Linked DNA regions of Alligator mississippiensis. The protein of the gene in region 2 interacts with the protein of the main gene of each other region in a biochemical or structural test. Links are inferred from orthologs where the notes say so. Each region holds a gene or a part of one and is shown on either strand. Other genes may lie near its edges.

The links.
Region 1: the proteins of TBP (region 2) and GTF2E2 form a complex in vitro, tested with the Homo sapiens proteins (2 studies listed by BioGRID). The link is inferred for Alligator mississippiensis from reciprocal best matches to the Homo sapiens genes TBP and GTF2E2.

What each region holds. Positions count from the first base shown.
Region 1 is NC_081825.1:169,002,047-169,009,145, reverse strand, and holds the start of GTF2E2 (transcription initiation factor IIE subunit beta), read right to left. Parts: upstream 3,031-7,099; 5' UTR 2,958-3,030; exon of another isoform or gene 2,887-2,957; intron 2,204-2,886; 5' UTR 2,200-2,203; coding exon 2,040-2,199; intron 1-2,039. UniProt on the Homo sapiens protein: Recruits TFIIH to the initiation complex and stimulates the RNA polymerase II C-terminal domain kinase and DNA-dependent ATPase activities of TFIIH. Both TFIIH and TFIIE are required for promoter clearance by RNA polymerase.
Region 2 is NC_081824.1:147,741,753-147,749,285, forward strand, and holds the start of TBP (TATA-box-binding protein), read left to right. Parts: upstream 1-4,430; 5' UTR 4,431-4,657; intron 4,658-6,310; 5' UTR 6,311-6,496; coding exon 6,497-6,550; intron 6,551-7,533. Other genes in the region: PSMB1 (proteasome subunit beta type-1), read right to left, coding at 1-89, 739-820, 2,127-2,234, 4,114-4,223. UniProt on the Homo sapiens protein: The TFIID basal transcription factor complex plays a major role in the initiation of RNA polymerase II (Pol II)-dependent transcription.

The DNA of each region.
Region 1 (7,099 bases), on a different chromosome or scaffold from region 2:
ACTTGCGGGTACATCGGAGGTCACAGCACCTTCACCGGTTTACAGATCAAGAAGTACTCCAAGACAAAACAATGATCACTGATTTCACGGCACGAAGAGTGAGATACTATACAAAAAATTCAAAATCCTTTTCTTTGTCCAAGCTTACATTTTTCACTCAAGATAAACAGCAAGAATAGACAAATTAAACTAGATAAATAAATAGCAAGAAATACAGGGAAGGGAGAGAATTCTCCCCCACCACCCTCCCCACCCCACTTTTTTTTTTTTTTTTTGGAGTATTGGGAAGCACTTAGAATAGGGACGGGCAATTATTTCAAGCAGAGGGCTGCTTACCAAGTTTTGACAAGCTGTCAAGGACTGCTTGGGTAGCCCTGACCCTTGACAGGTGCCCCATACCCTGGTCACCATCTTAGGACCGGAAGTACTGCCCCCTAACTTTTGCCACCATAAGTCCCTCCCCATTGCCCAAGGAAATACTCTTTTCAGCATGGGGGTTTGCCATCTCAGAACCAAAATATACCAAATTATATTCTAAAAATCAAACATCTACTACAATATTAATTAATCTGATTTCAAAAAAATATTTTGTCCTGATTTACTTGTGTTTGTATAGTGTACATAGAGGTGATTGTACAATAGCTTAAAAAGAAGTCTTACTCTTGTATATTGTGGGGAGGTGTGCATGCGTGCATGTGGCTAAACAACATCGTGGCATGTGTGGAGGATGAGGATTAGATGCTATGAGACTTGGCTCTGACATACAAACCTAGATAGAGAAACATTGCAAAGTTGGGGAAACAACAAAAAGGAGTAGCAGAGCTGGTAGAAAGAGCTAGGGCAGGGGTGTCCATCCTCCAGCCCACAGGCCAGATGTGGCCCATCCAGACCACAAAGCTCCTCATAGGTCAGGAAGTCTAGCAGTGGAGCAGTAGCAATGAATACTGCCAAACTCCTCTGCTGCCAAATTCCCAAGTCTGTGCAGCAGGTTGGGACTGGGCCGTGCCCCTTCTCCCTTTACTACTGGTTCAGGGCCAGGCCATGCCACCTTCTTCCTGCAGGACCAGGGCACACCTCCCACCCTGCATGGCTGGATCTGAACTAGATCACCCCTGCAGGACTCAATGGGGCTGCGCCCACCCCAATCTCTGGAGTAGGATCATCAGCCAGATCTGGCCTGTGGACAGACTGGGCACTGCTCATCTGGCAAAAAAAGTTGAACACAACTGAGCTAGAGCACTGCAGAGCCATGGGCATCAAGAACTTCTTCATGCACCAAGGTCAAGCATAAACTGACTGAAAAATTCAGAGTAGCATTTATGCTATTTCAGGGATGGCACACAACTCAAGACAGGGGGGAAAAGCTGACACAATCTCCACTCTAGTCTCATGCTAAGGTGCTTAAGCGAGAACTGTAGGAGACTGCTCTTCAGAGCACGGGCGGTCAACCTGCAGTACACATGCAACAGGCCACTTCTGCACGTAGCATGCTGGAGAACAGAAAGGGTCCAGGGAACATAGCAAAAGACAAGGGCAAGGAACAAAGCAGAACAACAGATCAGGCAGGGAGCACAGGGCAGGGAGACAAATGAAAAGAAACAAATAGGGCAGGAAATAGCAGAAAGCAGAGCAGCAGATCAAGCAGGGGAAGGGGATTGGACATGGCACCTTGGGAGGCGTGGGGCTTAACTTGTGGCCTGCCTGCCAAAAAGGTTTGGCCCCATTGCTTTAGAGCAGGGGTGGGCAAAATGCAGCCCAGGGGCCAGATGCAGCCAGCCAGACCATTCTATCTGGCCCGTAGAGCCCCTAAAAAATTTAGAAAATTAATATTTATCTGCCCTTGGCTGCCTGTCACGCAGCCCTCGATGGCTTGCCAAAACTCAGCAAGCGGCCCTCTGCTCGAAATAATTGCCCACCCCTGCTTTAGAGCATGACGGGCTACTTAAGATCATGGAAGCAGTGACCCATTCAAATTAACTGGGACACACACAGGTGCCAAACAATAAAACCAACCCTAAAACCAGAGCTACTTTACCAACCTGCATTTTGTTTTGAGCTTGATGATCCACCCTGCTCTACTTTTGCTTTCTTCTTTTTAGAAGATGAAGAATCAGAAGACACTGGACGTTTCTCTACAGCAGGAGTAGAAAGGGCTCTTTTTTTGAATAGCTCTCGTTCTCTCAGCAGGCTCGGATCCATAATTCTGTGACAAGAAAACAGGAGCGGGGGGAAACAAAAGTGAACCAGATCAATGAGGCACCTCAAGGCATACGGGGCTCCGAATTCCTTTACATGGCAAGTTGCTCCTTTCTTCTAAAGCACGCATCTGAGAGAAGCCAGGCACTGGCACGTGCCTTTCCGGGTTTGGTTTTAGAACTGCTGCAGCTTCACCTCCCGACACAGAGGAGAGGGATCTGCCTGCGCTGAAGGAGGGGCAGCCGCTCAGCTGACCTGGGCACAAACCAACGATTTCTCTGAAGACTGTACTCAAGGAACGTTTACAACCCAACTGACATTCATTCTGCCTGCCTGTCTCAAGTTAAAACAATTCAGCCTCCTGACTAGACCGCGCGGTGAAAACCATGAAGCCCTGTCGTTTATTAGAGGCTGTCGGTGCCCAGCGAGTTGCTCTGCTCCCGCTGAAGGCTGCCGGCTAAATAACGTCCCCGGCACAAGGACGCTGGCCCCCGCCGCTCCGCCCAGCCGAGCTCCCAGGCCGGCTGCGAGGCCCCAGGCGGGCCGACTCGCTGCCGCACTGGAGAGGGCCCCAGGGCGGCACGCGAGCGGAGCGGCTCCGCGGCAGATCCGGCCTCCCGCCGCCAGCAACGGCAACAGCTCCACTGGGGGCGCGAACCCCCGCCCCGCCCCGCCCCGCCCCGCACTCACCAACAAGCGCGAACCCCGGCGCGGGGCGAGAGACGCGGAATACACGAAGAGACTAACAAGGAGCCGCTCACCTATTGGCCGCCGCTGCCGCTCCCACCAGCCTCTGCGGCGCCCGAGCTGGGCGAACCCGGAAGTGGCGCCGGCCGGCCCCGGTTACCACAGCGACCGGCAGCACGAAGGCCCCGCCCCCACCGTGACGTCGAGGGGCGGAGCGGCCGCGCTCCAGCCGCTGCGGGAAGCTAGGTGCCGGTCGCGGGCTGCGGGCAGGCGTCCAGCAGTCTTCCCGGGGCGCCGAAGCAGGTTTTATGACGCACAGGCTGTCGGGGGGGGGAGGGTTCTTCTTGAACTGGCACACCAGCTCGTGCACCCAAAAATTAGCTCTTCTAACCAGCAAGTACTCCGGAGGGCAGGTTACTGTCTAGTCCCGCCTCGAAGACCTGTATCATGCTGTTCCTGAGGTCGCAGGGATCCCAACATCCCACAGCCCTCTATCTCTGTCCCCGCCTCCCCATGAGCAATGACGGTGGGGGCCCTGGTTGCCCGTGGCCTGCCCTAGTGGCAAAGGGTTAGGCAGCCCTGCATGCATCCTGCTGGGACTCCTCAAGCATGGCACCGACTCCCACCCTTTGAGCAGTCGGAGGACTCCCTCGGACTGTTCAGGGCACATTGGGAATGTCCCGGGGGGAGGCGGGGGACAAGGCAGGTAGCCCTGGTCCCTGCAAAGCACCACCAGAACCACAGGAACAGCTGCTCTGCCCACTATTACAGAAGTTTCCACACCACAGGCTCTGGTTCTCATGGGGGACTTTAATCACCCTGACACCGGCTGGGAGGACAATACAGCAGCGCACAGGCTGGCCAGGAAGTTTTTGGAGAGTATTGGGGACAACTTCCTGGTGCAAGTGCTGGAGTAGCCAACTAGGGGCCATGTTTTTCTTGACCTGCTGCTCACAAATGGAAGGATTGGTGGGAATGTAGTTAAGTGGATTGCAAGTTGGGCAGCACGAGACCATGAGACAATTGAGTTCAGGATCCTAAGGAAAGGAAGGATGGAGAGCAGCAGAGTAAGGACCCTGGACTTCAGAAAAGCAGACTTCGACTTGTTCAGGGAACTGATGTGCAGGATCTCCTGGGAAGCCAGTCTGAGGGGGAGAGGAGTTCAGGAGAGTTGGCTGTACTTTTAAAGAAACCTTACCAACAGTTCAGGAGCAAACCATGTTCAGGAAGACTAGCAAGTATGGCAGAAGAGCAGCTTAGCTTAGCAGAGAACTCCAGTAAACTAAAATCACAAAAAAGGAAGCTTATAAGAAGTGGAAACTTGGACAAACAACGAGGGAGGAGTATAAGAGCATGAAGTCAGGAAGGCCAAAGTGCAATTGGAGTTGCAGCTAGCAAGAGATGTGAAGGGTAACAAGAAGGGTGTCTGCAAGTATTTTGGTAACAAGAGGAAAACTGGGGAAAGTGTGGGTCCCTTACTGAATGGGGGAGGCAACCTAGTGACAGAGGATGCAGAAAAGGCTGAAATACTCAATGCCTTTTTTGCCTCAGTCTTCACAGGCAAGGTCAGCTCCCAGACTACTGCACCAAGCAGCACAGTTTGGGAGAAGGTGAGCAGCCAACAGTAGTGAAATAACAGGTTAGGGACTACTTAGAAAAGCTGGGCATAGACAAGTCAATGGAGCCAGACAGGGATGCATCCGAAGGGGTGTTGGCTGGTGTGACTGCAGAGCCTCTGGCCATCATCTTTGAAAACTCATGGAGATGGGGAGAGGTTGTGGATGATTAGAAAAGGGCAAATATGGTGCCCATATTTAAGAAAGGGAAAAAGGAGAATCCAGGGAACTACAGACTGGCTCTGTGGATGCAAGGATGTGGTGTACCTTAATTTTAGCAAGGCTTTTGATGTGGTTTCCCACAACATCCTTGCAGGCAAGCTAAGGAGGTATGGGCTGAATGAATGGTCTGTAAGGTGGATAGAAAACTGGCTACATCATTGGACTCAGAAACAAATGGGAGAGAGTCTAGCGAAGGGCAACAAAAATATGAAGGGGCTAGGGCACATGACTTTTCAGGACAAGCTGAGGTAACTGGGCTTATTTAGTGAAGGGAAGAGAAGACAGGGAGGATTTAATAGCAGTCCTCAACTACCTGAAGGGTGGTTTGAAAGAGGATGGAGCTAGACTATTCTCAGTGGTAGGAGATGACAGAACAAGGAGCAACAATCTCAAGTTGCAGCAAGGGAAGTTGAGATTAGATATTGGGAAGAATTTTCTCATGAGGAGGGTAGTAAAACATGAACAGGTTACCCAGAGAGACGCAGGACTCTTCATCCTTGGAGGTTTTCAAGAACTGGCTAGACAAAGCTTTGGCTGGAATGATCTAGTTGGGGATGGTCCTGCTTTGAGCAGAGGGTTGGACTAAATGTCCTCCTTAGGTCTCTTCCAACCCTAACTTTCTATTATTCTATGTATAGAATTTAATTATTGGAAGCTTGTCTTAAATTTGTCCCCCTCACCACTGCAATGGAGAAAGCAGTGGCAGGGGAGCAGGCAGTGGGGAGGGAGGCAATGGGAGTCAAGTAACATGACCTCTGCCCTCTCCCATACCTTGTACCCTGCTGCCTGTTTCTCCCAGCACTTGCCCCCTCTGCTACCAGCACACTCCAGCATCTGCCTCCCCACTACATGCCCTCCCATGCCTGCATCTCTTGGCATCTGCTCCCCATAGCCTTTGCCCCTGCTCCTCACCTTTCCCTCACTACTGTTTATTCTCCAGATCCAGCAGGGCTCCAGCCCTGCAATGCAACAGTTGGAGCAGCAGCTCTGGCCAGGAGCTGGACCCTGGGCTGGAACTGCTGCCACCACTACCAGGCTGGGATGGGGCCAGAGCTCTGCCAGGCCCCCGTGCTCTCTTCTCTCCCACCTCCATTCCCTCTGATATTACAACCACCTCTCTACCCCTGTTCTCCCCTGCCCTTTTCCCTACTGGAGGTGAGCAAATCAGCAGGTCCAGATGCTCTCCACCCTAGGGTGTTGAGGGAGCTAGCAGGGGTTATTGCAGGGCCCTTGGCATGGCTTTACGAGCACGCGTGGTGCTCGGGCCAGGTGCCAGATGATTGGAAGATAGCCAATGTGGTCCCATCTTTAAAAAAGGGAGGAGGGAGGACCCAGGCAACTATAGGCCTGTCAGTCTTACCTCAACCCTGGGGAAACTCTTTGAGAAAATCATCAAGGAGCACATCTGTGATGGGTCGGCATCGGGGATGATGCTCAAGGGCAACCAGCACAGTTTCATTAAGAGCAGGTCATGTCAGACCAACCTGATTGCCTTTTACGATCAGGTCACAAAAGCATTGGATGCAGGTGTTGCCATGGATGTAGTCTTTCTGGACTTCAGCAAGGCCTTTGATATTGTCAACCACCCCATCCTCATTAAAAAACTAGGTGACTGTGGCATCGATGCCTACACAGTCAGATGGATTGCAAATTGGCTGAAGGGTCGTACTCAGAGGGTGGTGGGTGGATGGGTCATATTCGACCTGGGGGGAAGTGGGCAGCAGAGTCCCCCAGGGCTCGGTCCTTGGGCCTGCACTGTTCAATTTCTTTATCAGCGATTTGGACGACGGGGTGAAAAACAACCTGTTCAAATTTGCTGATGATACCAAAATATGGGGAGAGGTGGGCACATTAGCAGGGAGGGAGAGACTGCAGAAAGACCTGGATAGGTTGCAGGGGTGGGCTAACAAAAACAGGATGCGTTTCAATACTGACAAGTGCAGGGTGCTGCACTTGGGCAGTAGTAACCAGCAGCACACTTATAAGATGGGAAACTCCCTTCTTGAGAGCACAGAGGCAGAAAGGGTTCTTGGAGTCATTATTGACTCCAAGATGAACATGGGCTGACAATGTGAGGTCACGGTCGGCAGGGCTAACCGGACCTTATCGTGCATCCACAGGTGCATCTCAAGTAGGTCCAAGGAGGTGATCCTCCTCCTCTACGCGACACTGGTCAGGCCGCAGCTGGAGTACTGTGTCCAGTTCTGGGCACCCCACTTCAAGAGGGATGTGGACAACATTGAGAGGGTCCAGAAGAGGGCCACCCGCATGATCCGGGGACTGCAGGGCAGACCCTACATCGAGAGGTTACGGGACCTGAACCTGTTCAGCCTTCGCAAGAGAAGGCTGAGGGGGGACCTGGTGACCGTCTATAAACT
Region 2 (7,533 bases):
GGAAAGAAGCGTCGAGAATACAGGATTGTTGACAACATTGCTGCAATAGCCCCAGTAGTCATCGTCTTGTTGTTGGAATGCTTGTACATCTACAATCAAATGCAAAACACAAGCAGGTTAAATACTAAAACAATAGTGTATATAGAGTGAATTCTAAAGATTATTTTTACAGAAAGAAATTTTCATACTGTGCTTTATTAAAAAGGAAGCAGATGGACAAAGCAGAAGTTGCGACTGGAATGCATACGATTGCTAAAAATAATCAGTCTAAAAATGAGTTTGTCAAAATTTAAATGTGGTGCATTTCTTTTCTTGCCTAATGTATCAGAAGTTCAGACACCAAATTTGTGTCCTACAAGTTTTGAAAGAACAGATATCATTACCTGGTTATAGTACTGTTAGGGTATTAAAACTAGCTTCAAGATTTGCATATTCAATATTTTTAATTTTACTCAGTTAAAATAGGAAGCATTGCATTACACTGGACACAACCAATGTCAGGAGAACACCCGAATCAAAACTATGACCCTTTTTAATTCACTAGTTACATTTTAAGTTCTTCATTTGGTCACATTATTGCTCTATTACACTTGACTAAGAGTAAGGTTCTTACAATTTTTTTGTTTGTTTTTTTTGTTTGGTTGGGTTTTTTTGGGGTTTTTTTGTTCTTTGTTTTTTGGGTTTTTTGGGTTTTTTTTTGTTTTTTTACATACAAAACATTATTAATATTGTAACTACCTTTAATCTTGCTTCAATAATTTTCGTAAGCGTAAGGCAGTCACCATGAAAACCACTGCATCCAATGACTGTTTGGTCTGTTCTGTAAAATGCAAAGTTTGGAAAATGTTTTAGCGTGCCCCATGACTACAAACTATCATATCACCACTAGCATAAAATCATTTGAAAAACATGGAATATTTGTATACCTAGCTTCCTTTAATGCATTGCATCAGCCTGTTCAGTAGGAATCTGCAGACCCCCAAAATGGAAGCCACTCAGATGAGTGGTTAAAAGTGAAAAATTGTAAAATAGGAGAAAAAAATTCTAATCCCACTTCTGCCAGGTAATTTGATGGGTATGCGATTTAACCAATTTGCCTTACATCCAGATTTACAGATTTTACCAGTGCTTTGAGGTGGAATAGAAAAAAAACTATACAGATACAGGTTTTTAATATTAAACCATTATTAAAAATTAGAGGGAGACAGATACTTCAAACCTAAAAGCATTTACAAACTCAACTATGAAATATACCATTCATAGGATGTCATCTAGACAGCTGTAGAGCACAATTAACTTCAACAATCTAAAGATGAAAATATTGTCTTAATTCATGTTTGTCAGTATTACCAAAGCTACTTATTTCAATACAAGAGATGGTGCCAAGAAAACCTATCTTGATACTACGAGGAAGCTACTGATATGCTAAGGAGCTAGCCAGGAGAAACCTGAACCCCTGAGAACTGTGCCAATGATAGCAGAGGGCTTGCCTCTGTAGCTAGTGGCAGCCTAGAGTGGGAGTGAGGCATTTAAATGCAAGTAACAATAAACTTGCTGAAACCAAGGGGACACTATCCAGCTGCTTTGAAGGAAGCATATGAAGAATGTGAAACAAGTTTGATAATGGAATTGCTGACAGGTTCCCTGATGGTCTCCAGTGAAGTAGACAGCTCTGAAGTGCCAGATGGTCTACTGAAGCAACAGTGAAATAGTGACATACCTGGGGTATAGCCAGCAGTGGTAGCACTTGTGTCCCAACTACCAGGCATCCAGAAGAAACAAAGCCACTTGCTGCAGAGCTAAGCACTGCTACAATTAACTGAATCTTCTCATTGGTATTCATCCAAAAAATAGTCTGTCTACTTAGCTTGTATTTTTAAAATCAAGTCTAATTTGGTATTGAAAAACATCCTTTGTCAGTGAAATTCAAGTATTAGAGTCAAACTAAGAAATATGATCTCAATTATGGCATTACAAGAGAGTACAAATGCAGCCAGATTGCTTTCTTACTGAAACGTCCTTTTGCAAATGAAAATGCTAGTCATTGACCCTCTACAGGTTACTAAGTTAATCAGTGGAACAGATCTTATAAGCAAGTTTTTACTTTGCCCAAGATTAAAACTTACAGTTTGTAGCATTTGGGACTGTCCCGGCTATGAATTGCATAACCTTCACTCAGTCGTGTGTCTGAGGCAACGACAGAAAAGTCTTCTCCAGCAATTGCCAACACGGTCCTTTAAAAAAAAAAAAAAAAAAAAAGTAAATCAATATAGAATTACAATTTCTAACATAAACATTCACTCAACAGAGAGGAAAAGGCACACCAAATGAGTGGTTCTCAGTCTGGTTTGAAAAGATTTGTCAGTGATGGAGCAGCTTTCATTCTACAGGAAGTTCTATTTCTTCCTACATGGCATAAGATTTGTTTTCTTTTTTCATTTTTTAAGAAATGGAACAAAAAGCGCACTGTTGCAGCTCATTTACATCTACATGCTATGTGGGATGTGTGTGTAAATTCAGTTATAATTAAGTTTACAGAAATCAGAGGAATTCAGCAGACTAGCAAGGTGACAGAAGCTTTTGGTGAGCACTGTAACCAGCCTAAAAACTGGCAGTAATTCAACCCTAATAATAGAAAGCCTTACGAATGGCAAGATGAAACAGCCCACAGATACGAGGCAAATCTGTAATTAAGGAGCAATGCTCTCACATTCCCCCCCCCATATTCTTTTCAAATAGCCAACTGTCATAGCTGCTGCATGTGAACTGTGGGCTTATGAACTAGGAAAGCTGCTTGGCACCATCTGCCTTAAAATGCAGTCCAAACTATGAAAATGCTTCTGGACCAGTCAATTACTGGTGCATCAGGCTAAGAACGTAAAGTGCCATGCTGGGTTGGACCAATGGTCCATCTAGCTCAGTACAGCCCCACGTTCTCTGCTCAGTGCCCTCCCTTCAGAAGTCTTGTTATAAACCTGTAACCATCAGTCCTGCCCATTTTCTTTTGAGGTGTCCTGGGTAATCAGCTGCCGTGCCTCTAGTGAACAAGGGAGGCTTATAGTTTTTGCGATGGGCCTAGGCCAACGTTTCCCTTGGCATAGCAAATAGACCTGTCTTCAACAGTGTCAGAAGTGGAAACTAAAGGGGGAGCATCAAACCAGACCTAGTGATCAATCCCCTGTTCATCACCCTCCTTAGCATCTGCCACTCTTGGTTTAGAGACACCAGAGAAAACATCTACCATACCATTCAAAAGCCATTAACTGATCTATCCTCCATGAATGCACCCAGGCCCCTTTTTTGAAAGTGGCTGTGCTACCAGCTCCTACCACCTCCTGTGGGAAGTCAAGGTTCTGGCCAGGGGAATCTCAGGCTGGTGTGAGGTTGTTTCCTCTCACTCATCTGCTCACATCTCTGGGAAGTTTCAGGGGGAAGCTGCAGCCCAGTCTGTTAAGAGCCATGAGTCCTGGATATGGCACAAAGGGACAGAACTGCTCATAAGAGCTGCTATTTCTTCGGTCAGAGCACGGGTCCACTCTCCCCATCTCCTGTGTCACAGGGCGCCTGCTTCAAGCGCACCTGGTCGCTGCCCCTCTTCCACCTCCTCCAGAACCTCCTGCTGAGGGCCTGGCTACACTGCTCCCTGCACCTTTTCTTTCACAGACTTCCCGCCCGCAGTCCCACCACGTCCCGGGACCTCCTGGCCAAACTAGCCATCTGTAAGACCAGGAAGGAGGCTGTGGTCGGGAGAAGCACAGGCAAGTGCGGGGCCACTTCCCTGGCGCTCTTCCGTTCACATCACCACACTGAGTGTCACTGACCGGCGTCCACAGACTCCCTCGACCCCTTCAAGGGGCAGAGGTGCTAGCCAGTGTGCTCGGTTCGGCGTCCACTTCTGATGCCTTAGTTATTAACCTACGACCTCAAAGATTTTGGGGGTCAGAAGGGACTTCAGTAGATCATCCATCCTAACCCCCCGCCCGGCAAACCCTTCACCTCCCCCCCGCGCCTCTTTTCCAAGCGGGGCGGCGCCTCCGCCGCTGGAGGGGACCCCACGCGGCCGGGGACAGGCAGGGGCGGCCGGGGGAGGGGCAGGCAGCCGGGGCGGCTCACCCGCCGTTGAAGGTGTAGGGGGAGAAGCGGTGGCTCGTGGCAGCGCCGAGGCCGCAGTCCCGCCTGAGCCCGGGCTCCGCATAGCCAGCAGCGAACGCAGACGACAGCATCCTGCAGTGCCTCCGATCCAGGCCGTGCCTGCTGTCTCACGGCAAAATGGCAGCACCGGAAGCGGAAGTCCTCCCAGCCTCGCTCTTGAAGACGCTCTAGGTTCCCCCTCCAACTCGTCTGCTCCCAAGGTGGGGAACCACCCCCCTCCACAGCTATAGGGCGGCGTGCGGCGCATGCGCTGAGCTGGCAGGACCTTTTTCCCAAGCATGTCACCCCGGGGGCGGTGTTCCCTAGCTCCGGGAGGAGCCGTGTAGTAGGCTGCTTTGCCCTCTCTCAAGATGGCCGCCGAGCGGGATTCGAGGGGAGGGGGAAATAAAGGCTGCTACGGGCGGAACTGACGCATTTTGATCGCGCGGCGGTGTAGGCTGGGGTTACCATCGGTGCTGCAGCCGACGCTGGGTCCGGGCAGCGGGCGGAGGGCCTAGAGCGGAAGGTACCGGCCTCGCTTCTATTCCCCCTTCGCGCGCGGTGGGGGGCGGAGCCTGCTGATGTCGGGCCCGCGCGGCCCTTCCCCGCCCGCCTGCGGCGCGAGCGCTGGTTCCAAGCGGCCGTTGGCGTCTCCCCCCGCCGGGCGCTGCAGGGCCCTCACCCCGTCCCCCCGTGGAGCCGCTGGGGGAGCGGGGGGGGGGAGCCCAGGGTAACGGTTCTGCCCCCCCACCCCACGCGGGACCCGCGCCTCACGCATCCACGTGGGCACACTCATGCTTCACTTGTTTATAGATTATTATTAAATAAGCAATTATTTATAAGGAAATATTATTAAATTACAAATAATAATTATAGTACTAGGTGAGCAGGTTTTCTCCAGGCTTCCCTGCTGCCAGAAAAGAAACCTGGGAGTTTTCCCCCTCCCCGGCGAAGCGGTTGCTGTAGAAAGCCATACCTGCTTGCACTATGGTGGCCATCATAGAGGACAGTCTGCTTTTCTGTTCCTCCATCCTCTATTGATATGAAACCTGATGCCATAATGTCCTCTATTTTTCTCTTCAAGAGACCCAATGCCTTTCTCTTCAAGGAACCTGACTTCTCTTTCTTGAAGAGAAAAATAGAGGACATAAAGGCATGGGGTTTCATAGCAGTAGAGGACAGAGGACAACCAGACTGTCCCCTATGATGGCCGCCCTAGCCTGCATGCACCCAGCATCTGGCCTCAGAGAGGAGCGGCCTGGTTGCAGCGCACTGGTGTGCTACCAGCGGGCAGGCAGGGCAGTTCGGCAAACCGCTCCTTTCTCGTGGGAGTCGGCTGTTGCAGACTCTCATCTCTTCTTGTCCTCATTGCTGCACATTTGGGTTTCGTAGACTTGCATTTTTTAATAGGATAACGATAATAATAATTATTACTATTATAGTAGCGTGAGAGTGCACAAACACCAGCAGAGTCTCCCCATGCCTGGAGAAGTGCTTGTGCCCAAAAGCTTGCAAAAAACGATCTTTCCAACTATTGGGTTGGTCTAATAAAAGATCACACAGTAAGTTGTAAGAAGAATTGATAAAATATTAATATTGCAGTGATAATCCAGTATTTTACATTGTTGCTAAAGGAACACATCCTAGCATTGAAATTCACTTGAGAGAATAGTGCATTGCCCAAATAACCCTGTCTGCTAGTTTTTCATAACATTTTTTGTGCATCTTCATGGTGAAATGCCTCAGCGCTTTATGCTGGTTCAGGCTGGGGAAGGAGGTTGTTTCCCTGGTCATTTTTTGGGTAACAGGATTTTGCTCTTAAATGACTTCCAACTGCCTGGAACTCGTGAACGCTTTAAAATTATGGTAAGACTTTAAAGATATCCAGGTTGTAATTATGGTAAGACTTTAAACAATTTTAAGCACATTTTGCTGATATATTTGGAAGTCTTCATAAACAGTGGTTCAGTCCTGAAATCACTTGTGTGTGCAGTCCTGCTGAAACCTACGGGTCTGTTCATGTAAGTAAAGCCACTTGTATGGACAGATTTTTAGGGGAAGGGTTGTTTCTATGGCAGCACAGGTGTGTACAAAGAAATGTGTTTAAAAATGTACTTAAGATGCGGCTGAATACATTTTTAAAGGTGCTGTTACCAAGAGTGTTTTCTATCTTTTTCAGGTTTTGAATTGTGTTTTAGATTTGCAACACGTTTTTCTGGAGCTAATGTTTTTAATAATCATTCAGAAGTGGCTGAAAATCTAGTTGCTGGAATGCTTTAGGGGAAACGACTTCTTTATCGTGTGGAATTATTGTTCTTGAATTACTGGAAATAATTCTGGCCTGACCAAAGAAGTAATTGGAATCATGGATCAGAACAACAGCTTGCCGCCCTATGCCCAAGGACTGGCATCACCTCAGGTAAAAATAAGATATTTAAAAAATTTAAGTGCAGGATAAAAGTCTTTGCAGAAAGGATTTCAGTTTCATGTGTAAACAAACATGAATAACTCCATTAGATGCTGACTATATAAATGCTTACAACTACAACAGCTTAGTGTGGTGATCTGCAGTCCCAGGAATATTTGCTTGATGGAAACTTGTTTGAAATTTTAGGCTAAAAGCAAACTGGACTGTCCCTTAGCCTTTTATAGTCAAAACTTAAATGACAATTGACTTGAATTAACTGTGATTATTCTGAGAGACACTGTTAATTTGAATACTTCACAGTTAGTTAATGTAGCACAATGGTTTTGGCAGTAGTCTGTAAAATCTGGGGTTTGTGTCTGGGGTTTGCTGAGAGAGAAAATGCTCAAATCCAAATCAAAACATTCATTTGTTTTTAGCTTTGGTAGCATTTTTAAGTGTCTCCAGTTTCTGATAAAATATTATTTCAGTGTAGTCAGATATTTGCAAAACAAATCCTTAATATTTGTAAGGAAATGCATCTTATGACCCAAAATCTCACTGGCTTTTGTTTTTTTCTAATTGAAATGTATTCGAACAAGGCATTGTGGTATGCATACACTGACACTGAATAATCCTTTCCTGGTTGGTGGAGAAGAGAAAGCATTATCTCTATTTCAGTGGTTCCCAAACTGACAGATTACATACCACCAATTTAAATTTAAAGTACCACCAGCAAATTTTTGTCATATAAAGTCATTATAATAAATCTGTTAATGCTACCACTGACAGGTTGTCTGCGTACCACTGGTAGTACCCATACCACAGATTGGGAACTGCTGTTGTGAGACTTTTTCTGTGAAGTAAAATACACTTTGAGGGATATTAAGTTCTTATTGTTTGGGCTGGTGAATATGCTCAAGCAGACATACTTGTTCCTAAACTCCTTAAACTTCTGTCTGATTTTCCTCCTAAACTAAATGGCATCTGGACTCCAT